Schizosaccharomyces pombe: one gene and its partners. The gene in region 4 interacts genetically with the main gene of each other region. Each region holds a gene or a part of one and is shown on either strand. Other genes may lie near its edges.

Evidence for each region.
Region 1: mutations in cdc15 (region 4) and cdc12 impair growth when combined (synthetic growth defect), as found in Schizosaccharomyces pombe (8 studies listed by BioGRID, with this or other methods).
Region 2: mutations in cdc15 (region 4) and cdc4 are lethal when combined (synthetic lethality), as found in Schizosaccharomyces pombe (4 studies listed by BioGRID).
Region 3: mutations in cdc15 (region 4) and clp1 impair growth when combined (synthetic growth defect), as found in Schizosaccharomyces pombe (5 studies listed by BioGRID, with this or other methods).

The regions. Positions count from the first base shown.
Region 1 is NC_003424.3:281,219-291,821, reverse strand, and holds cdc12 (cytokinetic formin Cdc12), read right to left. Parts: upstream 8,479-10,603; 5' UTR 8,347-8,478; coding exon 2,821-8,346; 3' UTR 2,622-2,820; downstream 1-2,621. Other genes in the region: SPOM_SPAC1F5.03C (FAD-dependent oxidoreductase), read right to left, coding at 521-1,635, 1,837-1,870; exocytic docking protein Mso1, read right to left, coding at 9,418-9,873. UniProt on the Schizosaccharomyces pombe protein: Plays a role in the cell cycle. Involved in cytokinesis. Component of the cell division ring. In the absence of profilin, caps the barbed end of actin filaments, thus preventing subunit addition and dissociation.
Region 2 is NC_003424.3:5,326,652-5,333,344, reverse strand, and holds cdc4 (myosin II light chain cdc4), read right to left. Parts: upstream 4,158-6,693; 5' UTR 4,128-4,157; coding exon 4,097-4,127; intron 4,045-4,096; coding exon 3,913-4,044; intron 3,840-3,912; coding exon 3,699-3,839; intron 3,633-3,698; coding exon 3,540-3,632; intron 3,468-3,539; coding exon 3,439-3,467; 3' UTR 2,827-3,438; coding exon of another isoform or gene 2,566-2,826; 3' UTR 2,521-2,565; downstream 1-2,520. Other genes in the region: serine/threonine protein phosphatase PP2A scaffold subunit Paa1, read left to right, coding at 680-694, 746-793, 848-953, 1,062-1,965, 2,027-2,127, 2,183-2,520, 2,566-2,826; SPOM_SPAP8A3.07C (phospho-2-dehydro-3-deoxyheptonate aldolase), read left to right, coding at 5,236-5,244, 5,516-6,625. UniProt on the Schizosaccharomyces pombe protein: Involved in cytokinesis. Required for the formation and function of the contractile ring.
Region 3 is NC_003424.3:4,766,875-4,773,504, reverse strand, and holds clp1 (Cdc14 family protein phosphatase Clp1), read left to right. Parts: upstream 1-1,788; 5' UTR 1,789-1,845; coding exon 1,846-1,894; exon of another isoform or gene 1,895-1,949; coding exon 1,950-3,514; downstream 3,515-6,630. Other genes in the region: box H/ACA snoRNP complex subunit Nhp2, read left to right, coding at 359-823; exonuclease Rex3, read left to right, coding at 3,976-5,598; qcr8 (ubiquinol-cytochrome-c reductase complex subunit 7), read right to left, coding at 5,780-5,794, 5,898-6,111, 6,157-6,174, 6,364-6,395. UniProt on the Schizosaccharomyces pombe protein: Protein phosphatase which antagonizes mitotic cyclin-dependent kinase cdc2, the inactivation of which is essential for exit from mitosis. To access its substrates, is released from nucleolar sequestration during mitosis.
Region 4 is NC_003424.3:1,396,084-1,404,843, forward strand, and holds cdc15 (F-BAR domain protein Cdc15), read right to left. Parts: upstream 6,854-8,760; 5' UTR 6,804-6,853; coding exon 6,723-6,803; intron 6,665-6,722; coding exon 6,573-6,664; intron 6,397-6,572; exon of another isoform or gene 6,382-6,396; coding exon 3,944-6,381; exon of another isoform or gene 3,933-3,943; intron 3,888-3,932; coding exon 3,715-3,887; 3' UTR 3,117-3,714; downstream 1-3,116. Other genes in the region: cir2 (electron transfer flavoprotein-ubiquinone oxidoreductase), read right to left, coding at 1-1,840; CCR4-Not complex subunit Not1, read left to right, coding at 7,239-8,760. UniProt on the Schizosaccharomyces pombe protein: After the onset of mitosis, forms a ring-like structure which colocalizes with the medial actin ring. Appears to mediate cytoskeletal rearrangements required for cytokinesis. Essential for viability.

The DNA of each region.
Region 1 (10,603 bases), 1.1 Mb from region 4:
AAGAAAGTATCGAATTATGTAGAAAAATAAATTACACTAAATAAAAAGGGATTTACAAAATATATACACTAAGTGCCTATGCCGTAAAATGCACCCAACAGGATGAAACTCAACACCGTGATCAAGAGGCACATTAAAAATGACGGTATTCAGTGATTCTACTTCTAACTTAAGCAGAACAAAAAGTTCAACGGAAAAATAAACAAAATCGGTACGCAAAATGCTCAAAAAGGGAGATAGAAAAACAAATAATTTTCAAGCTGACTATGATGTCAAGACAAAAATAAGATGATAGCAAACAAGAATTGTTATGAGTTGATGGTAGTAAAGTAGTCGTTCATAATCATGATCTTATCAATACCATGATTCGAAAATATGTTTCCCAAAATATGCCTAGACTTTTCTCATAAATGAGAATGTGATGAATAAAAGAGTGAAAATAAAGGATAAAAGGCTAAGCGTAAAAAAATAAGAAACAAGAAGGGATATGAAGACAAATATGGCCATAATTAAGGTGATTTTATTCCAAAGAACCTTCCGGATCTAAAAGATCAATGTTTGCGCTAGTAACAGCACCATCCAAAATGAGTTCAGATAACACTTTTCCTGTACCAGGTCCCAAAGTTATACCCCAACAGCCGTGAGCTGCCGCAACATAAATAGATGAACCAATTTTTCCAATGACAGGAGCACCCGTTGCATTAGAAATGGGCAAATAACACGCTTGACGAACTTTAACAGGAGAATCACGAATTATTTGGTGGAAATGGTTGGCACATTGTTTAATCAAAGCGCATTTATCTTGATCCACCTTCGTATCTGACGACAATTCAGGCAAAGGCTCGTCATCGAATTCACCACATACATACAGCTCATCTTCACGTGCATAAAACTCCGGAGCAGCAATTGTCCCATCTTTATAGGTAATTTCAGAAAATACAGCATTGCCGTTTAGCTTGATAGGAAGATCGATAGTTATGCTATGAATTCGTGCTCCACTTATTCGCAAGTTGGGTATTAATTGGGGAGTCCAAGGACCGGCAGCGACAATTATGTGAGTTGCCTCCATTGAATGAATGGTATGCAGTTCTTCAGCCGAAGTAATTTCCTCCTCTTCATCCGGGGCGTAGTCATCACCAATAAGCCGATATTCAACTTCATTTTCATCAACACTTAATACATGACCTTTTACCAAGGTAACGTTTGCAACCTTACTGGCCTCTTCGTAAATAGCATGACAAAATTTATAAGGATGAACTTGACCAGAATTTTTCTTGTTTCCTAAACGAGTAACATTCTCAACAATAGAGGGAGCAATCCATTCAATTCCCTCAGGCAATTTATCAGGTTGTTGGCAATTTTCGTCAGCTTTAATGGACCAAGTATCTAACGCTCGATAACCCCATTTATTGACTCCATCATATTGATCCGATAATTCTTTGTGTAGGTTGTACGAAAGAGCAGCTAAAGAACTCGTCGAAGGGCCATGCCATTCTAAGGAAAGGAAACCAGATGCTTTTCCAGAAGCGGCAGATGCAATACCAGCACTTTCAAAAAGTGTTATAGTGTCACGATCACGATTAAAACTGGGGTGATGAGCCAAAAAATATAAACAGCTCACACCGGTGATTCCACCTGAAAAATATTTGTTAGTAAGTTATGAAAATTGCGGCAGTAAAGTAAAATAGCAATCAAAGCAAAGCTCATCTGAGCATGGCAGGAAAGAAGTTTCACCGTCATAAAGCTGATGAACTTCTTGTCAATATCAACAACATCAACAATATATGAGTTAAGATAAAAGAGATCATGAGTCCAGCTATTTTTAAAGTCACATACCACCGACAATTACAATGTTTCGAGAATTGCTCATTGTTATTTCTAAAACTCGGTTTAAATTTAAACCAAGTAATGTAGACTCTGAAATTTAATTATATACCAATAATTCCAATTTTCAAAGAAAGATTACGAATTTAAAATTTTCACAACGTTGGTGTTGGGTAGTTCGGTGGTCAAGATGTGCGCGCTAATCTTCTAAATCCGTTGAACTTAAAACCAATAGTGAGTGGTCAGCGCAAGTTGGTAGTTAAAGCGTTTAAAAAGCTCGTCGTCAATCTATTTCAATGAGCACTAGTTAAATTATAAAAAAAGATTAAGCACATAAACAATCTCAATAGTTAATAGTTATGCTATTTACTGAATTATACATGCTACTACTCGAGCGTAGACTAATTTTAGACTTCTCGAAAAACAACATGTGTATAAAAATAATTGAAATTTCATTTTGTAGAATGTTTGACTTAATGCATGCTCGTGTTCTACCATTCTACCAACGATACATCAATCAGAGTATGTTTCTCGAAAAGACAGTTCTGCAACAGCACAATGTATTTGCCTTAGAAAATGTAACAAGTTAATTACACCGAAAATATAATTGAGCAATATTTAAATAGTGAGTCTTCGCCAATGATTCGTCACTTTATAAAAGAAACGAAGAAACATTAGCACACATCGAATGATTTCTAAACGATTTTCATCTTAACATTAGTCCTATTTTACTTCAGATTGAAAAATTTTACAGAGTTCTACATCAATTTGCGCAACAGACATTATGATAAATAGAATAGGGATTTAAATCATTATATTTACATACTCATAAGAAGATTTTTAAAGAAATATGACAAAATGTCAAACGAGCCAGCTCTTTCTATTAAAAATGATGAACATGATACACACTTCAAAAAAAGGGCAATCTTCCAACTAAACTAACTTCCAAAATTAGAAAAAAAAATTATGCAATGGTAGAAAGATTGCATCATTAACCTATTTCTCATTCTCCTTAGGCGCCAATTTTCCAGATAATAAACCTGCAAGCATTTCTTGTGCTCGTTGTGGTGATTTGATAGGAGTACTTTGACTTAAGATTCGGTTATGATCCAAAATAGAAACGGAAGGCGATACTAATATTTTGTTGACGGGCGTTTCTTCAGAAGAATAAACCTTCTTACCTCCTACTGATTGAAGATGTCGTTCAGAGTTTTGTTTCAATTTTTCCAGACGTTCCATATATGAGGACTTATTGCTGCCGTCTGGTTTAGTAGCTTGTTGAAAATTCAAATCATTAGTTCCCGAAAATTTATTGCTTTTCAAAGGACTCATTTGCTGCAACATGCGTCGACGGCCACGGCTATTGTTTCTTCGTAAAATAGTGTTAATATCATTGTTACCAGGTTTAGCTCTGGCTGTTGAAATCGTAGTTGTAGTCGGAAAAGTTTCCTTCAAGTCATTGGTGGCATTTTCTAAGTTCCGAGAGACAGCGCTGGTATCTTCATTAAGTTCGGTGTTATTAGGAATCATGGGAGCAACCAGATTATTTTCGACACCACGAGGAAAAGTATTCTCCTTTTCGTTAGCATGTTTACTTGCCCTAGTACCATTTGAAATTGTCGGCGTAAGCAAATTAACTTTAGAAGCCTTTTGAGGAAATACTTTCTTCTCGTTTGAAATAGTATCAGATTTTAGAGATTCTTTAGACGGTTTATTCTGAGGGCTTGTCTGGTTATTGTTTATACCTTTATCCTTTCGAGCTTTACCCGTCTTCTTAGAATCCCGGTTTTGTGAACCTCTTCTTGATTTTGAACTAAACCTTCGAAATTTCTCACCATTAAAGGGTTTTTGCCTATTAGAATCTTCCAAACTGCTTGGATCAGAAAAAGTGTAAGAAGCGGAGCGACCCTTATTACTTTTATTCTTCGAATTTTTGTTAAGGACATAGCTATCAGATACCTGACGGCCCGAACGACGCTTTTCGTAGTTGTATCCCTTTTTAGCTTTGCTAGATACTTCTCCTTTTTTCGTTGGAGTAATATTTAATGCGTCAGATAATCCATCGGTTGATTCACTACCCTTAGGATACCTTGGCCTAACTTTTGCCAAGTCACTTTTTACCGAAGATCTCTTAGGAACAAATAATTCGTTTTTTGCAGGACTAGATTTAGTAGAAGTGTTAGGAGCTTCTATTAAATGTTCTTTACCCATAGTAATGGCGGATCTATTTCGTGGTTTATGGTGACTTTCTAATTTGACGTTTCTCAATTTATCAAGGAAACCATCCATTGCTTCATTATCCATTTTGTTATTTTCAGACATTGCACGTTCAAGCACGTGTTCTTTATGATTGTTGACAAGATTCAAACGTCTATGCTGTGAAGCTTCTTCTTCTTCCGATTTCAAGTTGTCAGATCTAGCCTTAGAGTAGTCAATTATGAAAGAATCAACACGTTTAAAGAACAGGTTCTTGGAATTAGGGTCATTAGGCTGTTCACCAAAATATCTCATAGCATTGTTCAGGGTAGTATTCATTGTACGTAAATGCTCTTTCAAAAAATCCATTTTTTTGGTGCCTTCCATTAACCAGGGTAATATAACTGAAAGGATTTTATCATCAGGATGAAATACCGTAGGGTCGGAAAGAGCCCCAGAATCACAGTCTATTTGTAAATTCTGACAACCACGAATTAACTCGGAGCACTCTTGTTCAATCGCTTCAATATTCAGTTTGGCTGCTTCAGTGACGGTTGATAGTTCAGGGGAAAAGTTGTCAAACTGAGGAAAATGCTTCCTAATAGTTATATCAAGTATATGAAGTAAACTTTTAGTGTTATTGGCATTTTTTATCAATGGAAGTCTTTGAAGTGAACCAATGGCAAATCCTTTAGCTTGGCGCACATAATCGTTCATATAGTTTCCTAAATATAGAATTAAATATAGCAAACCTTTAAAAACTTTGCTGTCCCGAAGCTCAAGAGCAGCCCGCCCTATAAGTTTTGTTTGACGAACAAGGTTCTCATAATTGGTTTCGATTATGTTTTTAACTTTTAGTGCATTCATTCTTTGGTTCCAATAACCCCCAAGATCAACTATAAGTCTCACATAAAGATAGTCCCAACGACTAAGCTCTGAAGCATCCTTTTCGCTATTAACTAGATCACCACCATTTGCCCAGTCAATACGATAAGGCTCCAAATCTGCTTTTAATTTAGGTTGATTTAGTACTTTGTCACTTGATAAAAATTCAACACACTCGTTCATGCTATCATCACAATGTAAAATCATGCGAATGATCTCATTCGGATTTTTGTGAGACAGCTTGTGAAAGTGAATACCAAAAAGCTTCTGAAGTTCACTACTCATGTAATCAGTTCTAGCACATGTTTTTTTGACCAATGTTTTTGCTTCCTTCATCGCAAAACTTTCATCTAATTCATCTAAGACCCCTGATGTATGCAAGGTTTCCAAAATTTTGTTGGCCTCGTCAGAAGGTCCCGTCCAAAATGTAAATTCCAGCCCAGAATTCAACTTCTCCCAATGCATTTGCTTCAAACGACGAGTTGGTCGACGAGTCAAACCAGTAGTCTTATGCAAATCATCTTTTGATATATTATTTGAAACAGCTGGGGATACGAATTTACCTCCAGCTGCACTTACTAAGGGAGGAGGAGGTGGTGGTGGTGGTGGAAAAGCAGGCATAACCCCAGCAACCGATGTATCATTAGCAACGATGTTCACAGAATCAGGATGGGAAAAGGTATTTAAACTAGTTTTAACAGGAAGAGGAGGAGGTGGTGGTGGAGTTGGATGTGTAATTATCGTTGGTAAAGAAGTTGCATCATTAGGAATATCAAAGTTCGTAATTTTACTATTGTTGCTAACTGTTTCTGCTTTGTTCTCAACGCTATTAATCTCATGCGTTTGATTTGAAATATCCTTTATTACGACGTTTGACTCAATACCCTTTCCCGGAATCTCCAAGTTCGCAAAGTCATCAATTCCTTTCATACTTTTGATGGACTCATCCTTTTCACTGGTTAACGATTCAGAAGCTGAACGACCAACATATCGATGTAAATGACGAGGGAATGGACGATGAAATTTTTTATCAGGAATTTGTAAAATAGTTGACACAGTTGAGGGCTGGCTGGACTGTCGAGACATTTGCTCCCTTAGATCCCGAAGTTTGTCATCAATTCCATCGTTTGACCAAAGTGTTGACTCTGCAGCAATTTCCTTTTTCCTCAAGTCAAGCTTATCCAACAAATATTCTATAATCCTTTCCTTGGAATTAGTTGAGCCCTGAAAAGAATCCGAATTGATAAGAAGATACAATTCTCGTAATTCCACTTCGCTCCTTTGGATTTGAGTAACATGAGACTTTTGGAGAGCATCAATTTCTGTTTTTAGAGTCTCATTCGTTCTTTTCTGAGAAAGAATAACGTCTTTCTGATCCTCTACTTCTTTGTTTAACTTCGCAATTAAGTCTTCGGCACCCAGATTTACTTGCGCAGCCATTGCATCTCTTTCAATAACCATTTTCTCAGCCATTGCACGTGACGCCTTTGCTTCCTTCAAAGCATTTCTGGCTGTGTCATCCGAATAGAATCTTTCGGTTAGCATATTTAAAGATGCCTGTAAACTATCTTCAAAACTTTCATTGGATACTTTTGAATTGAGCAGTATTCTTTGAAGTAAAGAGTTAAAAACCTTGATAAGTTTCACCTTTTGCTTTTCAGTACCTTTGGCAAGTAGTATGTTTTGAATAGTTGATTCAAGTAAACGGCCAACTTCATTTGATGCAAATTCATTGAAGCTACTTAAAATTGAGGATTCATTTGACATAAAGGAATCGACATCTTCATGCGTGGTCTGACTTATAGTCCTCCTCTCTTCTTCTGATTCATATATGTTTAGTTGTTTCTCAAGTTGTTGGTCAGGAAAGTTACGTAGAAGTTGTATAACTTCGTGTATACCTGATTCACGAAGGGAATCCAATATATCAAGGTCAAATCCTTGCTCCAATTCTTCGCAAGCAACAATTAGCTGATTGATAAATTCCATAGTGGAAGTACAATACTCAAGAAACGCTATGTTTGAAGGTGAGCTGGAAGCAGAATTTCGAGCAGGAGAAGATGGAGGGGTTCGTGCTAATTCTTTTTCCAAGATTATGTCTTTGAAAGATTTTATCCATCCAAAGAATAGCGGAACCTCCTTTTCATATTCGGCATTTATTTCTTTAAATCCAGTTTCCAATATGGAGACCACAAGAGGTTCCTTTAAAGACAGAACCCATGTCAATAAATCTGCGGCTACTTTCCTCGGAAGCAAATTTGGGGATATAAGGGTCACTGTTATTGCTTGAAATATATAAGAATTGGAAGTAACCAGAGTAGGTTTTTTCTTCAAAAGAGTAAGCATGCAACGAGGAACTTCAGCTTGCTGAGGCTGCACTACGGCAGACGAATTAAAATATGTAAGTAGATTATGCAAAGCTCGAAGTCCCTGCAGTTCAAGAAAAAGAGATATCCATCGATCGGATTGAGTTGATAATAAAGAAGAAAGTGTGATAAGTTGTAAATTACTAATTGTTTTATTCCATAGTTGGATTACGAACCAGGAAACAGGTCTATGGACGGCAGCTAATTCTGGAATTTGGAAAGAAGGATCATCAAACCCGGCGAAGTTAGAACGAATAAAACACCACTTTTCATCTGGAGTACAACTTTGAAGCATTTCAATGGCGTTTTCGTCAAAATCAAATACAGGGTGTCTTAAAAAATCGTTGAATAGATGTATTAGCTGATCCAATGAAGGTGGTCGAGTACTCGGAATTTCAAACTGAAACGAGCATACCGAATTAGGGCTCCCAGCTCGAATTGAACGTAGTCGATAAACTTGTTCATCATTAGTAGAAGTGAATTTTGGGGAAACCTCGTTGGTAATCTCAGGGACTTCAACAACAGGAGCAAGTTTATGCTTAGTTCGCCTTTTTGTCTTAGATACTGGAACTGAGGGAACAGGAGGTTTCGGCAAAGGATCAAAAGAGCGAGAATGTACAGGGGGTGTCACTGGAGCAATTTGGACATCCTCAGAACTTTTAATAATGTTTTTGGGCAACCTAGGACCCTTGAGATGTTTAGAAGTGTGCAAATGTTCAACGGAAGACGAAGATGGTAGATCAGTGACTTCAACTTTATTCGCTTTGGGTCGATGGACAGTAGATTTCTCGGGTGTTTTAGGTAAAGGAAGCTGGGAATTTTGCAAAGCATGTTTATTATGAGAATTGTACTCTTTCGATGAAAAGGTAAATTGCTTTACATACGGAGAAGTAACTGATTGGGACTTATTAGGCTGGATTAACGTCGATACTGATTCTATGGATGATGGAGGTTTATGGTACGTTGTTTTGGACTTAGGAGCCCTTGGCCCAATAGTTCTTCTGGCTGATGGAGTTGGAGTAGACAGAATAGAGTCATAAGAAAAATTAGGGTCCTGTCCCTTTGACGAATTTCGCATCTCTACTTCATAAACGAATGCAGCATTGTAATTGCTTTCAGGATCTTGTTTTCAAGTATTAACAAGGAAACTGTGATGAAAAGTTTTAGCTCAATTAAACCTTTTTTTTAAATTTGCTAAAAGTTGATGTTCAGAACTTGTTGACCTTCAAATTTGGATAAAGTGGAACACTTAGCGAGTAAGGGTTGGGATGGCTTAAATGATCTAAGATAATACGTATACTTGCGAACAAGTAAGTTGAAAGGAAATGAAACTTCGATATATCTAATATTATAATGGTTAAATTGCGTTATAGCGTATTAAATTTTATTTTTAGGATAATCGAAATTCTCGTCTTGTAAGTCTAGTCTGCATTTGGATGCGGTTTCTGGTTGCTTAAAACGTTGTTCAATGAGAAAATACATTCGTGAAGATCATTTTTACTTACAAAGCATTCGTAACATATTTTGTTGTCACGTTGAGCTAAATATAACCAGAAATTTGCAAATAAACGAGAATCACAAGAACGAATCCATTGGTGCTTTTATTTACATACCATATTAAATTACAATAACGAATTTTCACAATTCGTCCCTAAGTGTTCGAGTTAGAAATTAAAGAAACCTATACGATGCGCTGTATGTAACGATAAGTTTTTATAATGTTGAATTGATTTCAGCTACTAGCTTTAATTCTACCAAGCGCTTTTTGAACAGTTTAATTTTTAAAGCTACAATCCGGTTAGAAACATAAAGAACATGTGATGGTTATTTAATTAGACTAAATGATAGTTCTCAAACTAAAGGCGAGTTGCTTAGGATAGTGCACCTTATTGTCAGGTCATTCCAAAAATAATTACTAAAGGAAAAACCAGAAAAGGTGAGCTAACTCAAAGTTGTAAAATAAGTAATTATGCCTCTGTACTGACAAATGTCGAACTTCTGGGTAAGATGGGCTTAGTTATTAACAAACGAGGTTGAGAATAACACATACGTAGTAACAGCATTTTCAAAGAAACAAAAAGTCGTTTTGATCATTAATACGCCATTAACAGATACCAATGAGAGTAAAGTAAAGGTATCGTTGTGTCAACTAAAACTTCTTTCTAGTGTGATCAAATTTTGACCGTAGCAATGAGCCGGAAGGTGTAGAGGAAAGAGGTTTCGTGGTGGAAGGTGATTTTTGAAGACTTCCGACACCTTCAAACAAATCGTCAAAGGTACTATGTTGAACAGAAGGTAATCGTCGTAAAGGGGGAGACGAAGCAGAGGAAGTGGAGGACGATAGCCTCCTAGGATTGGCCGGAATATATGAAGCTTTTAAATTTGAAGGAGCCGCATTACTTGCATTTATGCTAACTGGGGAAGTAGGTCCTGTGTTAACTGGAGGCTGCCATCCAGGAGGACGAAGCCATTCAGGTAATGTCCCAATTTTGTCCATATAGTATTTTCTCATTACACGAGCAACGTGAGTATCTTCAATCGTATTATCGCTTTCAGGGTCGCGAATACGATTAATTTTTGAAGAAATCGATAACTTTGACCACATGATGAATCGAGAGTTCGCGTTTCTTTATGTACTACTTAATCTCTAAATTTTAAAGAACCTTGGCATTTGAATTCAAAAAATTTCAATAAAAGTAATTAATAAAAAAGTTTAGCCATTATTATGATGCCAAGAACGGCTTAATATCTGGCGACGCGGATTTCATAAAGACGCCAACTCGCTAAACTGTCTAAAGTGATTAATAACACGACCATGAACTACATTATATGTTTTAACGAATGTAAAATCAGCACATAAATAGATAATTTTATTGCAAATGTCCAATTGATTAATATCTTACAAATAAAAATAATTTGTGGGTGGATTTAAACATTTAATTTAGATACTCTCGAAGATGATGCATGAAATCGGCTAAAAAAAAGAATGAACGATGAAAAGCTTGGTAAACAAAATCAATACTGAGCAATCTTACTATGTAGTAGCTAATTAAGGTATACATAATTTCTAAATGGACTACGAAAATGTAGTTTTAAAATAGTTAGGTAAGTTTTAATTTTACTACTTGTAGTCTTCCAAAAATCATAAACTAGTATCTACAATAAAAATTTCTTTAAATTAAATATATGTCGGTGAAAAAGAGCCTCGCCCTTAATATGTATTCACTACGAAAACTAAATAAGGATATCGTATATATTAGTTGTTCTGCGTTCACAAAGCTGAGTGCATTTTTGGAGTTGAGCCATCATACTCTCACGCTTAACAACACCCCACT
Region 2 (6,693 bases), 3.9 Mb from region 4:
CGACAATAGCTCCAATATTAATAAATCCGAATTATCTTCTTGCATTAAATATAGCGAAAGTTTTCGGTTTGAAACATGCGAAGTTTGGAAAAAGCTTTTTAATGGCTATAATCACTTAATTATGTTTTGTTTTTTGGGTAATTTCATAGTTTGAAATAAATATGACTGTGTAATATACCATTCAGCCAGTTGCGATACATCAATATGGCAATTGAATCCTTTATTATCATACAAATTTCCAAAAAAATAATCAATTAACATACTCATGCAAAATCGTTTGATGTCATATAAAAGCTTTAGCATTGGTAGAAATGTGATTCCAAACCATATCCCTTAAACAATACTTCTCAAAAACAAAGATTAAATTAGGTCAGGAATAAAGAGAGAAGACATAAAAAGAATTCGTGATGCTAGACAATTCAGTATGTAAACATTTAAGTGGAATTTATGTTCAGTCAAAACTCTGAAAAGCAGAGTATATTATAAACACAAAATAGTTTTTTAGAATTATTCAAAATGATTCATGTTAAGGAAAACCTTTGAGATACTTGCTTGGAAAACTGTTTCAATTTGGTAGCGTCCGCTGTAACACACACTCCTTCTTCACCTCGAAAAGTTTAAAACTTCCTACCCACTTTATTTGCTTGTTTGCTAAGAACGAGTTGTTCTATTATATAAAATGCAAACAGAGAATGTGTGTTACAAAATGTCTCTTTTACAATTTATTAACCACGACTATTTATAGCAAGTGAACGATTTGTATCCGATTGCTGTTTTGATTGATGAGTTAAAGGTTGGTAACAAATTGTTTTACGTCTGATATGTTCAACTCTGACTATTGTTAAAGCATGATGAAATTACTTATAGGCTCAATGCTTTGGAACGGTTATCGACAATTGCTCTCGCTTTAGGTCCTGAACGTACAAGGGATGAGTTGATTCCCTTTTTAGATGGTATGCATTCAATAATAAAATTATGGAACTATAGGTTTAAATTTTTAAAATTCTTTATATTTTTTAATAAACGATGTATGTTTGTCGGCTAACATTCCTTGAATACAGAATCGATTGACGATGAGGACGAAGTCCTATCAGCTCTCGCCGACCAGTTAGGAAATTTTGTAGATTATGTTGGAGGCCCTGAGTATGCGCATGTCCTTTTGTCTCCCCTTGAAAATCTTGCTGCAACTGAAGAAACGGTAGTCCGCGATAAAGCCGTTGACTCTCTCAATAAAGTATGTATTTGCCTATCCCAAGAACAATTAGAGCAATATTTTGTTCCATTGGTTCAACGTCTTTCAACCGCTGAGTGGTTTACCTCTCGTGCGTCCTCTGCTGGGCTTTACTGCGCGGCATATTCTCAGTCAGAAAATCCTGCTGTCAAAGTCTCTCTTCGTCAAAGTTTTAGTCATCTATGTCACGACGAAGCTCCCATGGTCCGTCGTCCTGCAGCAACGAACTGTGCCAAGTTTGTTTTTTTGGTAACTAAACAGGAGGCTATTGACGAATTCATTCCATTGTTCAACTCCCTTTCTAATGATGACCAAGACTCAGTTCGGCTCCTTTCTTTCGACATTATGGTTTCTTTGGCGGAGGTATTAAAATCTGACTCGGAAATTCGTCACTATTTGCTTCAACCATTAAGGTCTTTTGTTTCGGATAGCAGCTGGAGAACACGTTATATGGTTGCTGCTAATTTTGTAAAACTTGCTAAAGTAGTTGGACCATCTCTTATTAAAGATGAACTTATTAAACCATTCGTACTGCTCATGAAGGATACCGAGCAGGAAGTCCGCCGTGCTATTGCTACTCAAATACCAGGATTTTGCGAATTGTTGGATAAGCGAATTGTTCTTGAAGAGATTATTCCAGTTATTCAAGAGTTAATTAATGATCCCGCTCAACATGTCCGTGCTGCTTTAGGGATGAACATAGGTGCTCTCGCCCCACAATTAGGAAAGGAAAAGTATGTCTGCTAAAAATAACTTTTCTTTTAAAAACCTCATTTTACTAATCGTTATATTTAGGACTACAGAGTATCTTTTACCAATGTTTTTGGAATTACTTAAAGATGAAAACCCTGAAGTTCGTCTTAACATTATTTCGAAATTGGAAGTTGTAAACAAAGGTAAATTGCAAATTCAAAATATAGCTATTGCTACAGTTATACTAACTCACTTTAGTCGTTGGTATCGAATTACTTTCACAATCTTTATTGCCTGCAATTGTTACACTTGCTGAAGATAAACAATGGCGTGTTCGTCTTGCTATCATTGACTACATTCCACTACTTGCTCAGCAGCTTGGGGTCGAATTTTTTAATGAGAAAATGGGCAATTTATGTATGTCATGGTTAGAGGACCATGTATATTCTATTCGTGAAGCTGCGATAAAGAATTTGCGAAAACTTACGGAAATTTTTGGGTTGGAATGGGCAACTGAGACAATTATTCCAAAGTTTTTGGCTATGCGAAGCCATCCAAATTATTTATACCGAATGACAACTATTTTTGCGATCAGTGTAAGTTTTTCTTTTTTGCTTTTTTCCAGTTCTAACGTATTTTAGGAAATCGCACCTGCATTGAATGCTGAAGTAATTGAAAAACAAATTCTTCCAACTTTGGAACAGTTGGTTAATGACCCTATTCCTAATATTCGCTTTAACGTTGCCAAGGCGTTTGAAGTTCTTAAGCCTGTTTTGGCAGCTGGTGGTGACTCGACCGTATATGAACAGCAAATCATCCCATTGCTCGAACAACTTACAAAAGATAATGACCCTGATGTTCAATATTTTGCTACTCAGGCCTTAGAGCAAACAAATGACTAATTGTTGGGTTATATGATTGCATGTCTAAATGAGCCAAAAGTTTTACCTTTATGATTTGTGTTCACTATGTAAAAATGCAAAAGAATGGACTGTCTTGACTCTGGCCATTCGTTCGACATCAAGTGTCAAGCCCTACATCTAATTCAAAGCATCGTATTGACACACAGTAAATTAGATATACAAGATATACACGATATGGCAAAATTGGAGCCGAATGCATCAAGAAAGCTGGCATCAACCGTAATTACTTACGAAAAGTGTAATTTTGAATGAAAACTTATATTTACATCTGGAGAGATTCAAACAATTTAAGCAGCTGAGATATAAGGTCATTTGCATGAGATAACAAATGGTTGTTAATCATATTCATAAATATACGAATATAGAAGGATATCTCTATTTCCGTATGCTAAACGATATGTGTAGAAATTCCTGCGAGTATCGAAAAGTCCAGTTATCTGTATTCAGGAACATATTGCTTCATAGTCCCAAGTGTATCAGATGGAAAAGCTGAACGAAAGTAAACTATTGAAGACATAAAATTGAAATAAAGGTGTAAATAATAAAGGAGAAACATATGCCGGGTAAATTATGCAAACTATGTAGATTTAATTAATTGGCAAGAATCATTTGAACGAAATCTAAAGGAAGCAGTTAGTATAATTAAGTATAGGTAGTTGATTGCCGAAGCCCAGAGTAGTAATAGAGCATACCGTGATAATTAACCATGCCATCTTTTACGGGAACACCCTTTAATAACTCGTCCATTTCTTCGTTGCTGAGTTTTTCACCCAAAGAAGTTAAAACTGATACAATTAGTTTCGCATTTTTTTATCAATCTGAAAAAAGGATAGATCTCTATAAATACATACCATAGCGCAATTCACCCACTCCAATCATGCCAGTGGCATCTTTATCAAACACCTGGAAGCCCTTCACGAATTCCTCTGGGTCACCAGGCATATCAAACCCATTGGGACGATTTAACACTTGAAGGAATTGTTCCATATCGACTACCAATTAGTATTGTCACTTAATGCACGGCTAAGGAGTATAACTCTCCAAACCCATAACAAGAAATCATACCTTCTGCGGGCAAAGTAGATTCAATTTCAGTAATCTCAGCCAGCGTAGGATTTTGTCCACACGCTCTTAAAAGATCACCAATGGACGTTTTGGGGATGCGACCAGTTCCATGGCGGTCAAATAAAGAAAAAGCTATCTTTTCGTTAATAAACATTTTGAAATGATTTCAAAAAGTAGTTATTACCTTGTTTATAAGGTGAATCGTCTGTCGACATGTTTGACTATTCTAAATGGATTGTTAGGATGAAGGTAAGTGTACTAAGTCGACTGTAATCTGTGTACACGCACCTATAAGCCCCATAGCAACCGTTGCCATGATAATGTTTACTGTATAGCGATCTGTTTAGTAATTTACTAAAGAACGTAGAGCTATGTAAACCAGCTTATATGAACAGAATTGTCATTTACTTTGCCAGATTTTAATTTAGAACATCATTCGTATACAGAATATGAATAGTCATACTAATGTCGAGCTACTTGATAAATTATGAAATGGCTGGCGATTTCACTATTTCTAGTGCAATACAAAATACGAGAGTCACCGGAACACGAGAAATACAGTACTGATGCACTTCATAAATTCAATAATCACATCAGAATATCAGATATCATTAACTTGTTAACCTCAAAAGACTAATCTACCGGAAAGCCAACGCTGTCCACCAGACTTCTAATTTTCGGCGTTTGTGTACCAAAAAGGCAGTCACAGATGGTATATCTAAATTTTCGGGCTCACAAAATATGCATTGAGTAAAAGTAAAATAAACGAATCAATATGTTTTTATATGTTGCTTTAATGCGTGGTTTATATAATTGAGCGAATCTTGGAAATAAGTATTTTGATAAGCAATGTATATATTCTCATATCCCAGTGGTACATGACAGTAAACATTGTAGGAAACGTAATTATTAAATATTATATATCAATCCCTTTTAACATTAATTTATGAATTAATAAGAAACCGAAAAAAGGCTTTATTTTATGTTTTTACGCTCAACCTTCAATTTACTTTCAAGTAATTAAATAGCAAGTGAAATCTAGAAATTGATACAAAACAAAGGACTTATAAATTTGAACAAATTTTTAAGCGATGATGTCCAGAAATTGCCTACTACTTGTTTCGCAGTTCCGATGACTTAGAGCCATTATCACTGGATCATCTTATTACTGGACTACATATATTTTTCGTTGGCGCTGCTTCGAACTCAGACAGAACCAACCTTCGTCGTAGTAAAGGACCTTTAATAGTGTTTACTTACTTGGCATTCAACAACTTAGGAAGCACTCTTTGACCTAAATTTATTAATTCTATTTAATAAGCCATGTCTCCGGTAAGTAACCCCAATTGGGCATCCAAAGAATTTTGCTAGTAAAAATTTTCATCAGTCGGAGAAACAGTACTGAAAGTTATCTTATTGAGTTATATAGTAGATTTTACTATGCGGATAACAAATTTGTTTTTGCTGATGAATTTTTAGGCAATTGAAATTTTAAATTTTTTTGTTTCTTTTTTTTGAAATTTTTATTGCTTTATGTTGATTGCTATGTCCAGCATGTTTGGTCTTTTTTTTTAATGTCAATTTGCTAACATTATTCAATTAGGTTTTTTTACCCAGCGGTGAAACTTACGATCAAGAGCATCTTGATGACAACCGTGTCTTAGGTTACAACCCTTTGGTTCCTGCCGCTTTGGTTCAACAAGAGATTCCTGTTTCTGAAACTTCTCGCAAAGTCATCACTGACTCCAGAAAGGAGATTCAAGCTATTCTCAACAAACAAGATGACAGAATTATCGTTGTTGTCGGTCCTTGCTCCATTCATGACCCTAAATTGGCCATGGACTATGCTAAGTTGCTGAAGCCCAAAGCTGACGAGCTTCAGGATGCTTTGTGCGTTGTCATGCGTTGTTATTTGGAGAAGCCCCGTACTACTATCGGATGGAAGGGTTTGGTCAACGACCCTAACTTGGATGGTTCTTTTGCTATCAACAAGGGTATTAGGATGGCTCGTCAAATGTATTGCGACGTTACCAATTTTGGCATTCCTTTGGCCAGTGAGATGTTGGACAACATTTCTCCCCAATTCTTCGCCGACTTACTCAGTTTTGGTGCTATCGGTGCTCGTACTACCGAGTCTCAATTACATCGTGAATTGGCTTCTGCCCTTTCCTTCCCTGTTGGTTTCAAGAATGGTACTGATGGTACTGTTGGTGTGGCGATTGATGCCATTGGTGCTACCGCCCATCCTCACACAATGCTAGGAGTTACTAAACAAGGTCTCGCCGCTATTACCATGACCAGGGGCAACAAGGATACCTTCATCATTTTGCGTGGTGGTAAGAAGGGTCCTAACTATGATGCTGAGCACGTTGCCGCCGTTCGCAAAGATCTTGAGAAGGCCAACCTTCCTCCTCGTATCATGATCGATTGCTCTCATGGCAACTCAAGCAAGAATCATTTGAACCAACCAAAGGTCTCCAAGAGCATCGCCGAACAAATCAGAAATGGCGACTCTTCCATTGTTGGTGTTATGATTGAATCTCATATCAATGAAGGTCGTCAAGATGCTCCAATCCGTCCTGGCGTTAAGGATACTCTCAAGTACGGTGTCAGTATCACTGATGCTTGTGTTAGCTGGGAACAAACTGCTCCAATGCTAGACGATCTTGCTGAAGCTGTCCGTGCTCGCCGTCAAAACCAAAAAAGTAATTAAGACATATAAATGTTATATTCAGCAGTTTTAATTTTTTTAATTTTTGAAACTTATTTTTTCGTAACATA
Region 3 (6,630 bases), 3.4 Mb from region 4:
TTAGCTTAAACCATGAGCGCTTAGTTCATTTAGTTGATTTGGCCTTTTTAAGTGCTGTTTCGGTTGTCTAAATAAATACAAATGATTATATAATCTTAGGACTAGTCAGGGAGTTTAAAATAGTATCTTTAAGTAGGGAAGACAGCAACATCTATTTACAGTAAATTTTTCCAATACTCCGTTCGTGGAATAGTAGGCATTATGTCAATTTAAGGAATATTACCAAAGCTGGTATCTTAAAATTACGTATTATACAGATGGCTTAACAGACTATTATCCGCTACATAGCGTTACTGAAAAAAGTTTTATTGGGATCATCTTTTGGGCTTCCAAACTTATCCTTCTCCATTTCTTTATCATGGCAAAAGATAAAAAAGACCATAAGCATAGTGGAAGCACCGAAGATGAGTATGATTCATATCTTCCTGCTTTAATGCCAATTGCTAAGCCTTTAGCTCCTAAAAAATTGAACAAAAAAATGATGAAGACTGTCAAGAAGGCTTCGAAGCAGAAACACATCCTTCGTGGGGTCAAAGAGGTTGTAAAGGCTGTTAGAAAAGGAGAGAAGGGTCTTGTAATTCTTGCTGGTGATATTTCTCCCATGGATGTTATATCTCATATTCCAGTATTATGTGAAGACAATAATGTCCCTTACTTATATACTGTTTCCAAAGAGTTGCTTGGTGAAGCATCAAACACCAAGAGACCTACTAGCTGTGTTATGATTGTTCCCGGTGGAAAAAAGAAGGACATGTCTAAAGTTGAGGAGTACAAGGAAAGCTACGAGGAAATTATAAAAGAAGTACCTGCTCTTGAAGTTTAATTGTTCAATATCTAAAAGATGCTTAGCCATTTAATGTAGATTATTATATACTATTAAAATTTGGTATTTATCCTGGGATTTAACTTTTGGTATATCATGTCTGTTTGCTTGATAGTAAGCGAAAAGAAGTTTTGCTTAATGGTCGGTTTTAAGGTTTCAAAAAATTTCCTTTTTAATCTAGTGTTTTATCATTCTTTCTTATGCCCTAGTATTTTATGGGTTTAGACTGGTTTGCGAGCAAACTAATCACTATACCTCCAAAACTTTGTTAGCAATAATATCGTATCATTTACCAACTTATATGAGAATGGTATATCGCTGTAACAGCGATGAAATATCAACTGATTTTTCCTCAAATTTCGTTTACGCTGATCGTTTCATTACGGATTTAGCCTGTGTTTATTTCTAACTAGTTGCGCAAAAAAGTTTTATTATTCGTTTAGGTTGCTATTTAGTATTCAGAGGCGGCGTGTTAGAACCAGTTTACAACTAACTTAAATTTCACCCAACGTCGTTCTTACCATTATAATGTTTACAAATATTATGCTTTCCAGTGCTATCCATAAATGATAGATTAGGGTAGCTTTAAAGGTCCGGCAATTATATGGTTATCTATCCGGATTTTGTTATCGGATTTAAATATATTTGCTAAAACAAATCGAATTTCAGATAAAAAAGTTGGGTTGTATTTGTATGAGCAAAAAGTATTCTGTATGTTTATCATAAATTGATGTGCATTTTTACTTACTTTGTAAGATAATGATTATTGTTGTTTATTTACTATAGTGTTGCTAAAAGTTAATGTCTTTTTTTTTTTAATAAAGAGAAAAGATTAAATGTCAACATAACGTTGTGTATAGTTTAGAATCCACTTTTGTCTTCATTTGTTTCGCACCCCACATATTTTCTTGTGCATTATCATCCCTTCTATTTACAAGGACCACCAACACCCAGGTACACAATTTAGAACTCAACCATTACGGGTTTGACGAATATAGACGAGATTCGCAATTACTTGTCTGATGGATTACCAAGATGATGGGCTTGGTGAAATGATTGAGTTTTTGGAGGGTATGCATGAAGTTTAACTCAAATATCTCGTAAAATTGATTAACATGTTAAATAGACAAGTTATACTACACATCATTGTCGCAACCACCTAAAGCCGAGTTATATCCTCATATGCATTTTTTTACTATCGATGATGAATTGATCTACAACCCTTTTTATCATGACTTTGGTCCGCTGAACGTGAGTCATCTTATTAGATTTGCAGTGATAGTTCATGGTATCATGGGAAAACACAGACAAGCTAAGAAAAGCAAGGCTATAGTTTTATATTCTTCTACAGATACAAGGTTGCGTGCAAATGCCGCTTGTTTGTTAGCTTGCTACATGGTGTTAGTACAAAACTGGCCTCCACATCTCGCATTAGCCCCTTTAGCTCAGGCAGAACCTCCTTTTTTGGGGTTTAGAGATGCGGGATATGCTGTTTCAGATTACTATATCACGATTCAAGATTGTGTTTACGGACTGTGGAGAGCACGAGAGAGCAGCATACTAAATATACGTAATATCGATGTTCATGACTATGAAACTTATGAAAGAGTGGAGAATGGAGATTTTAATTGGATATCTCCTAAGTTTATAGCATTTGCAAGTCCTATTCAGGCTGGTTGGAATCATGCGAGCACACGTCCAAAGAAACTTCCTCAACCGTTTGCGATAGTTCTCGATTATTTCGTCGCTAATAAGGTCAAACTGATAGTTAGGCTTAATGGACCTCTTTACGATAAAAAGACTTTTGAAAATGTTGGAATTCGACATAAAGAGATGTATTTTGAGGATGGCACAGTTCCAGAGCTTTCTCTTGTCAAAGAGTTTATTGACCTTACCGAGGAAGTAGAAGAAGACGGTGTGATTGCTGTTCATTGCAAAGCAGGGCTCGGACGTACTGGATGCTTAATTGGCGCATATTTAATATACAAACATTGTTTTACTGCTAATGAAGTTATTGCTTACATGAGAATAATGCGTCCTGGAATGGTTGTAGGTCCACAACAGCATTGGTTACATATTAATCAAGTTCATTTCCGTGCATATTTTTACGAAAAGGCGATGGGAAGAGCAATCCAACAGGCCACCGCTGCGGAACCCTTAGCTACTCCTCCTCGCCATCCATTGAATGCTACGAATGGTACCTCTCAAAGCAATATCAGTACTCCTCTTCCAGAACCAACGCCTGGCCAACCGAGAAAAGTTTCTGGACATAATCCACCGTCGGCGAGACGTCTCCCTTCAGCGTCCTCTGTCAAATTTAATGAGAAACTTAAAAATGCTTCCAAGCAATCAATCCAAAATGAGAACAAAGCGTCATACAGTAGTTACGAAGATTCAGAAATACAAAATGATGATGAAACACGGACTGTTGGAACTCCAACTGAAACAATTTCAGTGGTTCGCTTGCGTCGCTCATCAAGTCAAAGCAATATCGAACCAAATGGAGTTCGTTCTCCGACATCCTCACCAACTGGTAGTCCAATTCGACGTACAAGTGGAAATAGGTGGTCTAGTGGGTCTAGTCATTCTAAAAAAAGTGCTCAGCGAAGTGTTAGCATGTCATCACTTAACAATACTTCTAATGGCCGTGTTGCTAAACCTAAGCCTTCTAAAAGCCGGCTAATTTCTTAATAAACCTGTAATTACTGGTTTAAATGGCAGTTTTTACATTCCTTTTTTTCATATAAACTAACTTTGAATTATACTGTGTCAACCCTGCATAATTTTTCATTAATTAACTTTACAAATATTCCCTGATTTAGCGCACCTTTGCGCGGTGGGGATCACCACCATTAATGTCTTAGCTATCCTTTTTGTTAACTAACATTCATATTTCTTTGGAAAAAACTTTGGCTTTTTGCAAGCCATGGTTAATGATTTTAATCGAGAAATTGTTTTGGTTATGATATAAAAAGTCTTTGTTTTTTATTACGAATTTCAAGATTTCGCCATTCTATTTTTGGCTGAAGAGGTTCTTTCGCGGGTGCATGGTATCTTTGTTCGTAGCGGTACATTTTATTATATTTTGCTTGAGAATTTTTATCTAAATTCCCAACGGAAATCTGCCTACTTGTTGTACCTAATTTGCTTCAATGTTTTCACCTTTGGGTCAGTTTAAGCACATAGTTTGTCCATTTCTACGAACTGGACGCAAATGTCAGTCTAGGAATTGTTTCTTTAGTCATGACTTTCAAAACTCAACAAAGATTTCACCACCTTATTCCGAAAATGTTGAAGGGTACCCAAAAGTTAAAATTGAAAAATCACTTCCTTACAAATACGATAATTGTAAACTGTCTATTTGTGTTCCAATAGTTACGACCTGTATCCCTTATCATTCGGTTGAAAATCTTAATTTCAACATTAGGCAAAATATATCCACCACTTTAAATTTGGAGAAGACAAATGATTCCATTAAAGAAACCAAGAATGAGAATTTTCGTATGGACGTACTAGAAACTTACAAATGCAAGCAGTTGAATCATCAAACGACGCATCTACCTACAAATACTGTATTAAAAAAGCGTTCTTTATTTAATGATGCCATTTCCATCGTTCCTAATAAGAAGAAGCAACTTGTATCAGCCATTAGTACTAATTCAGATTCTCAAGGAGCGTCTTCCAATATCATTCCTACTCCTAAATATGACTCCAACTCACCAGCTGGGCATGAACTGAGAAAACGAATGACACATTTGTTATATGAGTCTTACAAGGATTTAGGCTATTCCAATGCAGAAAGTAGTATGCTTGCTCTTCTCGATGAAAAAAATATTTGTGAAACTGCAAACAGTAAAATGATATACAGTTCCTCCTGCAAGTCTAAAATTTTATCTCTTAAGAAAGCTCCGAAGAAAAATGAAATACAAGGATCAACTCCTGATGAGAAACTTGAGTCACTTGTTCATTCGGAAGAAGAATTGATTCTATGGGGATATAATATTGGAGACGTTGCACCAGTAAACCCGCCAGATGAACTTCGTGAATGCGATCGATGTGGTACACGGTTTGCGGATCCTCGAGGACCATGTACATATCATTGGGGAAAACTGTTTCGTGAAAAGCAAGGGGGGGAGAAGATTCGTACATACACTTGCTGTGGTGTAAAAGAGGGCGATTCGTCTGGTTGTATTATAGAAGACAACCATGTGTTCAAATACCGACATCTTCCGTATCTTGCTAGCGTTCATCCATTTTCCTACTTACCAGACAGTACAAATAGCAAGCAATTAAGTCATTGCGCGTTAGATTGTGAACTATGCTACACTACGAACGGGATGGAATTGGCTCGTTTGACGGTGGTAGCAAAGGAAAGCATTATTATGGATGTGTTTATAAAGCCTAAAGGCAAAATTTTGAGTCTCAATACTCGATTTAGCGGGATACATGATGCCAAAGAATTAGAATCAGGAATTACCATGGATCAAATGTATATTAAAATAAAGGAACTTGGCATGAATAAAAATACAATTTTAATAGGACATGGTTTAGAAAACGATTTGAATGCGATGAGGCTTATTCACAAACGTGTCATAGATACTGCTCTTCTATTTACGCATGCCAGAGGCCCGCCGTTTAGATATTCCTTAAAATATTTGACTAAAAAATATCTGGGAACAACAATACAAACTTCTACACACGATAGCGAAGAAGACGCTGTTTCAGCATTACAACTTGTCTTTTATAAGACAAAATCAAATGAAAGTCAAAACTAAGAGTAATAATGTTTTCAAATTCAAGAGATAGATCATATCACAAAGTAATTTTGTTGGATATATAGATTTCTGATACTAAGCATAATGAGAGGAGAGAGATAGTAATTGTAAACCCAATAAGGAAAGGGTAGGGAAGAATTTTGTAAATCCTTCTACCAAAATGAATACTTCATTCTCATCATTATTCCTCCACCAACTAAACCACATATTAGTAAAATGACAATTATTGACACAATTTAGAAGTATAGAAAAATGCTGCAAACCATAGCTGCTTATCGATTCTTCAGTCATTAACTTACGTGTCTTCCATGTTTGGAATTGAGGAATTCATTACGCTCCTTCCCCCAACAGTAAATATAGTAAGCTATTCCAAACGGAATTGCTACGTATAGACCTTCAGTCATGACGCGACGAAACATATTTTGCGTAGAAGTTTTGAAGAAGCCGGCCATTGGTCTCTGTTGAAATGGGGAAAGGGAATATGTTATGATTCCTTTTTGTTTAGGTCCACCTCTTATTAAAGTAAGTAAAAATGTATCAAATTGTTATAGCACTTACAGATGGCCCCACCATCCTCTATTCATGTGTTAGTATAAATAAAAACGTTCAATGATATTCTCAGCAGCTATTTGAATGTATATAACTTCGCTGACGAAAATGGCTTTACGAAATAAACACCAATTGTGTCCACCGTCTCACGCTATAAGCGTCAAAGAAAAGTCATATAACCCATTATAAACAGAAACTGCTTTAAGTTGCACTTACAAATAAGTTTTTCCTCCAGCAGCACCACCCATTTTGTTAAAACAATAATATATTGATGATTGCCGTTACAAAGTCAGATGTTTGTTAAGGGTAAGTGTGCGGGTCTGCTAGACCAATAATAATTCAGACGTTTACAAATTCTTGGTTTTTTATTCAAGATTTTTATTTAGTTTTACTATTAAAATTCTAAATAATAAGATCATGTATTTATTAATCATGAATATAGATTTTCCTAGAGGTTGCAGTTAAGTCATACTTAGTCTTGCT
Region 4 (8,760 bases):
GTAAAGGGTCCTTAATGTCACATGTCTTACAATGGACACAATTTTGAGAGTTTATGACAAAACGCTTACCGTATGAAGAAGCTTCATCATTAACATATTCATACACCCCAGCAGGGCAGAATTTGTTTTCAACGCCCTTATATGTTTCAAAACATGATTTACGGTCTTTAGGACGGTGATCGAATAGGTGACAGGGTTGGTTTTCAGCATGCATTGTTGCGGAACGGGATACCGAAGTTGGAATATCGAAAGAAAGAACGTTATCCGGTTTGGGATAATTGATAGGTTTATATTTTGATGCAGACTTTGTAGCCTTTGCATCTCCTCCTTTATGCTTTAATGTCCATGGGACACGACCCTTCAGTACATATGCTTCCACGGCAGAATAAGCCATACCACCATAATTACCAAGAAATGAGTGAAAAGATGGTCGAATGTTTCTAACAGAATAAAGTTCTTTGAAGACGTACGTGTTCTTTAGATTTTCTTCATAATCGTTTAGAAGAAGAGGCTTACTGGCAGCGTCCCGTCCAAACGCATCTACAATGGCATCAGCGGCAACAATACCTGATTTCATCGCAGTATGAGTGCCTTTAATCTTGGCAACGTTCACAAATCCAGCGCTGCAACCGATCAGTGCACCACCAGGAAACACAAGTTTGGGAATAGCTTGATAACCACCTTCATTAAGAGCACGTGCGGCATATTCCAGGCATTTTCCGCCCTTTAGCACCTTAGCAAAAAAGGGGTTTTGCTTCATACGTTGAAATTCTAAGGCGGGAGAAACATAAGGATTAGGATAATCCAGTCCAACAACTAAACCAACAGTAACGTAGTTATCGCCAAATTGATACATAAAACCACCACCATATGTATCATTCCTCATTGGCCATCCTAATGTATGGGCTACCTCACCTTTGCGAAAGTTCTCGTCAGGTACACGCCAAACCTCCTTTACACCCAAACCATAGGTTTGAGGTTCACAATTTCCTCGAAGATTAAAACGCTTAATAATAGATTTTGATAGGGAACCGTGAGCACCTTCAGCAAATAAGGTGACAGGTGCGTGAAAAGCCATGCCGCGTTCGAAATTATCTTTGGGCAAACCCTTACTATCGACACCAAAATCATTAGTGGCAACGCCAATAACAGAACCATCTTTGTTGTAGAGGACCTCTGAAGCAGCAAAAGAAGGATATATTTCAACTCCATATTCTTCGGCCTTTGCAGCTAGCCATCTGGTAAATTCTGCTAAACTCATAACATAATTTCCGTGGTTCTTCATGGCTGGAGGGACAGGAATAGGGAAATGCAATTTTGGGATCAGGAACTTCATTTTATCGTGAGTAACAGCAGTACAGTTTTCAGGTGGGTCATCACGCCAATTAGGAAGTAGTTCATCTAAGGCAGTAGGTTGAATTACAGCCCCAGATACGCTGTGGTTACCGGGCTCAGCAGCCTTTTCAAGTACCACGACACGAATGTCTCTGTTGGCTTTGGCAGCTTGTTGCTTGATACGAATGGCAGCACTAAGTCCCGCAGGGCCAGCACCAACAATACACACATCCACATCCTCGACCTCTCGCTCAATAGTATCTAGTTTACGCAAATTATCCGTCAATTCATTAAGTCGAACGGAACTTGAATGAAAATTACGAGCGCCCAGAACGGTGAAATCTTGACGTAAAGTTTGAGAAGAGATTTTTAAAAGAGTACTAGGAGAAGCGAGAGGGAGAACGTGCATCGATCTTCCTCCCCTTCTCCCGATTTTTCTCAATACCCCAGTAAGGTGTTTAGCCCCGACTGACCGAGCGAGTGCAGATCTCGATAAATAAGACATTAATTAGGCACTTTAGCACAATTGCTGAAAAAATTTAAAAGTAATCACTAATACGAACAGAACAAGAAGCTAATATCAAGTACTTTCTCAACAAATGAAAACAATTATCAAATAATACAAAAAAAGATATTACAAAACTAGAAACGAAGGAGCCTTAAGACGAGACAAAAAAAAAAACTATTCACAAACAGACACCCGTTAATACACTTGGAAATCCCGCACCGCTAAAACGAACAAGTGTAGACAGATACAAAACAACAGGAATGAAAGAGAAAGAAAAAAGTTGGATTCTCTCTAATCGGTCAAGCTAGTGGCTATTAATTTGACATGTGTAGTAAAGAAGGAAAAGGAAAAGAAGATGTAAATAAAATAAATAAAGGAACGCAGGACATTCGTCATTTAACCGAGGAAGCCGCTCCTTACCTTTAACAGCGCACCAATTGCATTTCCTGAATTAAACCGAAGGCTACGGATACAGCCAATGAATCGGATCTAAGTAATCTAAAATGTGCGGGAAAACCAATTATCACGGCCGCTATCAATAAAATTGAAGGTTCTGGTGAAAAATTTCGTTATTACATTTATGATATTCTGGTGAATTTGGCAGTAGTTCTATTTATGGCGTTAAATAATTTAACGATAATTAATTTCTCTGTTTTTGACGGCTTTAGAGATACTGTGTAAAATCAGTGTATGTGTCAGTAATACTGCATTACGCTACATATCATTATTCATTCATTCATTCAATTTGCACATCGTGTCATGATAATACGAACATGAGATAGATCTTGCTAACAATACAATAAAATATAAGCTATTAAGAATAATACACGATAAATAGATCCTCGTTCTTCAGTTCTTTCTCAGCGACAAATTACAACAGTACCTACATATAACAATATATATAGCAACTGTTACCTCTATTATTCAAAAGTATCATAGAATAAACAGCTCATAAGCGAAACTCACCGCAGTTCATTGTATCGTTAAAGCAAATAACAAAATCTGTAGCTTTTTCACTAAGTAGGTATGTAAATATAAAGGCACGCATGTGTTTTTGCAAAATCAGGGTCTTATGTCTTTTTATACCTCAATCAATAATCTTATCTGTTCAGGCTAGCGAGACTTCTTTTCAATCAGATCATTTTATAAGCATCTATTCATATCTCCTAACACTCATGTTTACAAGCTAGTTGATGCACACTGTATCTATAGCCAAACAAAAAATCTGGGTTTGCACTCTTCAAACATACCTTATCCACAAATGCATTTTCTGGTAATTATCGGTCGGCTTCTTTTTAAAAAGTAAAGCTCAGAATCCTACATCTGCGGATATCATATTTTTGAGCAGGCAAATTCATCATCGTGTTATATTTTTGGTTTATTCAACTTTATCCTCTAGTTACTGATAAAAATTAGCAATTTAGCTATATCTTGTCAAAGCTACATACCAAATCGTACCTTGATTTTAATTTACTAAAATCGGTTTTGAAATTGATGTAAAAATCATATGAAACTTTGAAATGCACGAAATCTTCAAAAACAATTAGTGTTATTCTTACGTCTTACAATAGCCAAAGGACAAAGGAGTCAAACATTGTTAATAAAATAAAATAAAATATATTCCAATCAACTAGATTCTATGTGTATTTCCTTTAAAACAGAAATCTTTAGATATCAAAATAAATGCGTATAAATACCTATGCAATGCAACGAAGCTTAGACCATGACGAGAAATGAATTTAAAAAAAAAAAGCATGTCGTTTCGCGTTAAGTCATCAAAAAAAAAATAAGGAATTACGGATTAGTAAGAGATAGTAACCACGCGAAAAAGAATGCAAGTGTAAACATCTAGAAAAGAGGGTAATCAGTGTCTATACCGTCTGAACAAAGTTCGACGGGAATAAACCACGTTTTGAATTTGGAACATTAATAATTTCACCATCCCACCATCCATCTTCTTGTGTGCGAAGAACCATTAATGTATCGCCCTTTTGGAAGCTAATTTCTTCAGGTATTTGAGCTTGATAATCATAAAGTGCGATAACTGAATTATAATTAGTAAAATTAAAAATTTTTAAAGTTTCTCTTTAATGAACTTACCATATCCTAAAATTGGCTCTCCTTCAGCCGTAAAAGTAGCTCGTGGATCGACATTCTTTGATTGAACGCTATTTCTATTAGTCGGCTCTGGTGACCGTGCGCGACTGGTGGATCTTTGGGAAACTTGCCTCATGGACCTTCCACTCATAGACCCATATCTGTGACCCATTTCTGAACTTGGTCTCGATCCACTATAACCACCATTGTTTCGGTTTGATGTGTTAGATGAAGTAGATTTCTGTGACTGTAAGACTGATGACGATCTACGATTAGGGCCTAACGGATTGGGAGAAACAGAACGTTGCATAGACAACTGAGGTTGAGATTTGTTGTACTCACCATACAACGACATAGATGAAGATGGCCTTTGTTGACCAGACACTGATTGCCCACGAGCCCTTGTAGAAGGTGCTGGCGAAACGACATCAGATTGGCGTACACTAAGAGAAGATGCAGACCTCTCAAAGCTTGGGCGCAAGGTGGAGCTTCTTCTCGATAACATTGGAGAAGGAGATCTACTCATATTGCTTCGACTATGACGAAGGGATTCTCTAGCTGAATTTTCGGTTCGTTGCTCTCCGAACACCTGCTTTGTTTGGGAAGCAAAACTATTACTCATGCGTTGCATTTGAGCAGAAGTGTGTGCGGCTGGAGGAGCTCCTAAGGTACTCTTTTTGGGAACGCCATCTATATCACTAGCTATAGAAGTATTTCGAGAGTGATAGCCCAAGCCATTTAATCTTGTAGAAGAAGACGTCTTACTAAGAGAAACAGGCGCTTCATCGTCAACTGATGTCGATTGGCGTCTTCTCATTGACGAACTTAATTCAGCCATTGCATTAGCGATGGGATCGGGTACATCTTTGTCTTCTTCTTTGGATGTGGATTCCACTGGTGCCTCTCCAACAGAAAGCATGTTGGGTCCAACGTTTAAAACAACGTTAGCTCTGGGGTCAATATCTTCTAACTCATCAGACTGGACAGACGCGCCTGTGGCATGTTGATTGCTAGCAAATCCTTCTTTAGTAGGTGAGGTACTTCGGCTACCCATATTAGAGAAACTAGAACCCATGAAGGGAGAAGTGGGTCTCCCCATACGCTCCATTATTGATTTTCGTTTGATAGATCCCAAACTAGTTTGAGACCCGTGTCCATGTCGAGAGAAAGACAACCTAGATGACCGACTTCCGGTAGCAGTAGGTTGAAGTTGACTACTCAAAATAATATCATCATTATCTTTCGTGATAGCATTCTCACTATTTTTACCTTCCTTAACTTCGGGTGATATATCTGTTGCAGCGGGTATAGCCTGTACCTCAGTCTCGGCATTATGAGAGGATCTAACATCCATTGAAGTCAAAGGACGAGCAGCTACTTCAAAAGTTGGTGATGTTACAGAAGGTCGACGCATTGAGCTCCCTGTAAGTACTGGTTTCTGGGATTCAGCTTCTTGTATAGAAGGAACGGGAATAGAAAGTTCAACCTCTGTAACTTGTTCAACTTGTTCATTAGACACTGGCTTAACTGGTGAATGCAATGGTGAAGTAGGTGGTGATGATACAACTTCCGATGAAACTGTTTCACTAGTTTTGGGGCGAAAAGCGCTACGTGTTGGCGAACTTGCCAAAGATGCAGAAGCTGAGGGACGCGAAGAGGAGTATGGATAAGAAGGAGCTTTAGAAATGAGCTGGTCGATGTCATAATTTAATCCGTTTTCTTTGAAATAGTCATTAAACTCGGGTAAAGGGGGAATTGTAGTTCCGGTACCTTCGTTTTGAATCATTTGAGTAATATCTTCATCAATGTTAGTGTTTTCGAGTGTGAGTCGAATCTTTTCACAAGATTCATCATCTTTTACACAAGCAGTAGATATTATATTTGCATAGGCCCACATGTTTGTTTTGAGAAACTCTAAACGATATTCCTCAATATGTTGAAAAGCATCACAGACCTCTGTCCAACGATCAATCCATTCCCGAGTAACTGTAAGAAGTAATTCGTTTGTTTCTCTGTATTCCGCATCCATTTTTTTTACTGCTAGCGCTGCTTGACGGATTTTTAAATTGTATTTGTCTAATTCACGACCAGTCATCTTTTTTGTCTGTCTCATGTAGCTATTCAGCTTGTTACAACTGTACTCGTAGGCATCCTTCTTCTCGGATAAGTCTATTTCGAGAGCCGTTTTTTTCTGATATAATTCCTCAATGGCATTGGCTGCAACAACTTTCTGTTGCTCCGTCTGATCAATGTACTCGCGAATTTTATTTCGCAATTCGGTATTTATCTGTTGTGAGACTTCTTCATGCGCTTTGGCCATACTCCCTGTTTCAGTTCTCATAGATAAAATATTATTTAAAGTTGATCCAACTTCTGGGATGTCTGCTGAGCTGGCAGCTAACTCTTGCAGTTTAGATGCGTACTCACGCTCAATAGAAGCACTAATTTAGTTAGTCAGACTTTAATCAATAATCATACCGAACCCTTCGGTTCATTACACAAGCTATCTTAAGAATCCACGATTATCTGTAAAACATCTTAAATGACAATGAAACGACCAAAAACATATTTCTTGAATCATCGTAGCGCTTAAGGTAGAGCTGCAACTTCCAAACGAGGCAACCATACTTACCGCTTTGCGTAAAATTCATCAATTGATTCTAATACGGAAAGAGAAGATTTTGTTCGGGACATAAGAGCATCCATACCCGCATCTTCAGATCCCTGCAACGATTTTGTTAACATAACTTTGCTTTACTAAATACAGCAAATTTACACATACCCAGAAATTATCGCGGAACTTAACAGAAGATTTGGTAACGTACGGAGCCGCTTCAGATTGAGAGACTCCATTAACCTCCATTTTGTTATTGAAAGAACAAAATGCAGCAAAATTTGTGATTTGTTGTTGGTAAATTCCTGGTAGTCGATTTCAGGAAAAGAGTAAACATGTTTGTTTACTGCGACTACTGCGGTGACAACCGTCCCTAGCAACCGTTGCCTATCTGAGTGCACAATAAGCAACTGCAAATTAACTCTATCCTTAAATTTTGTTAAAAAAGTTTACGAAAGATACAGTCTCGTTAAATTTAATGTTCGATCCTTTCTTAGACTGCCTGGCAGTGAGGAGGACCGACATATCTTTTGCAAAACACCACTGCACCTATTTTCATTCAAACTTGCTAGCAGATACTGCTGCATCTCATCTGTAAATATTCAAAGAATATATCAGCTGAAAATAGCATAGGAGTATAATAATAGCCTCACAAAGGCATGGTAATAGAAAAGCGTTAAAAATATGAAGAGCCAAGAACAACAAACGCCGGAGACACGAGAGAAATCTAGTTCAACTTCTGAATCTGGGCATCCTATATCACTAGATTCTAAGACCCCTCCACCAAACGATTCAAAAATTGAAAGTATTGTTAAAGCACAAATCCTTTTCTTATTGTCGACCTTACGGGAAGACCAATATGATACGAAACTTGAACAGATTCGTCAACTTATCAACAAAAATGCACCCAGAGTATACCACCATTTTCTTCGCCGTCTAATTCAAGGAAATTCATACCGTATTTTTGGTACCGGTAAATCTTCTGATGGACTAGCTACTTATAAATTACTACTAGATGAATTAAAATCTCTCACGAAGTCTTGGGTCATGGCGAAACGTTTTAGTGATGCTATTTCAGGTTCTGATTCTGAAGTATTTGAAGATTTCGATATAGAGGCATTTTTAGACCATTTCCAATTCTCCCCGTTAGAAAGGACTAACCTTTTAATTGGACTTACCACTTCTGTTAAACCTACTTTAGCAAAGAAAGCTTCTGCTTTGCTTAAAAACACATTCCAATCTCTTTTAAACCAACTATCCGATCCTACTCAGCAACAAAGTATTGATAAAAACGATTTGGATTTGCTCAGGGAAGGTTTGTTTACCACCGACTATGACAGAATACCCTTGATTAAAGTTCCAAAGTTTGATGCTATAATTGAGAAAAAGTTGGCGAATTCACGCCCTCTTACAGCTTTGTTTGGTCCGATGAAAGCTTCCAAAGCTACACTTAAGTCTATGAAAGAAGCAATTCTTAAAAAATATCCCCCGGGAACGGCTACTGAGACTGATGTTGCTTATCTTATAAATTCACTTGTAGCTATACATGATTATGGTGCTTGGGACACTGTTTTGATGGGTAAAGCTATCGTTTCCTCTTTTGAAAACCTAAATTGGGAAGCTATGCTTTCTATGTTCGATAATCCTAAATTTATGATAACGGGTACACCTAGTCTTGTACTGTTCTTCACAATCTTTACAAATGCTTACAAGTTAAGGCAAACTAATTTTACGTTGGACTTTCTCTGGGTTCTTTGGAGAAATCCTTTACCGCAACTTTCCATCATTTCTCATATTATCCTATCCCCAACATCGATGTTTGATATAAGAGAGTTCAATGTCAATCCTGTAGTTTCTGTTGATAGCTTAAAGGATTATAGCGAAGAGCTTGTTAATTATGCGAAAATATATGAAAAAAGTAATTTAAATTGCATTGAACTTGTCCAAATCCTTTTACGCCTGTTATCTGAGGTAGTCACCTACGAAACTTCACTGTTCTTGAATTTTTTGGATGAGAAAGTTTCTGCCGAGCTTTTGCTTTTGGGTACGCTGCAGCTCCCTTTGGCATGGAATCCTGTTCAAGAGTCATTAGCGTTTCAATGGTGTTCAGACTTTTTTTCCAATTTCAAAGAACATAAATTTGTCTTCGTTAGGATTGAACGAACAAACCCTCAATTTTTGTTCGCCTTTTTACGCAGTTTGTGGC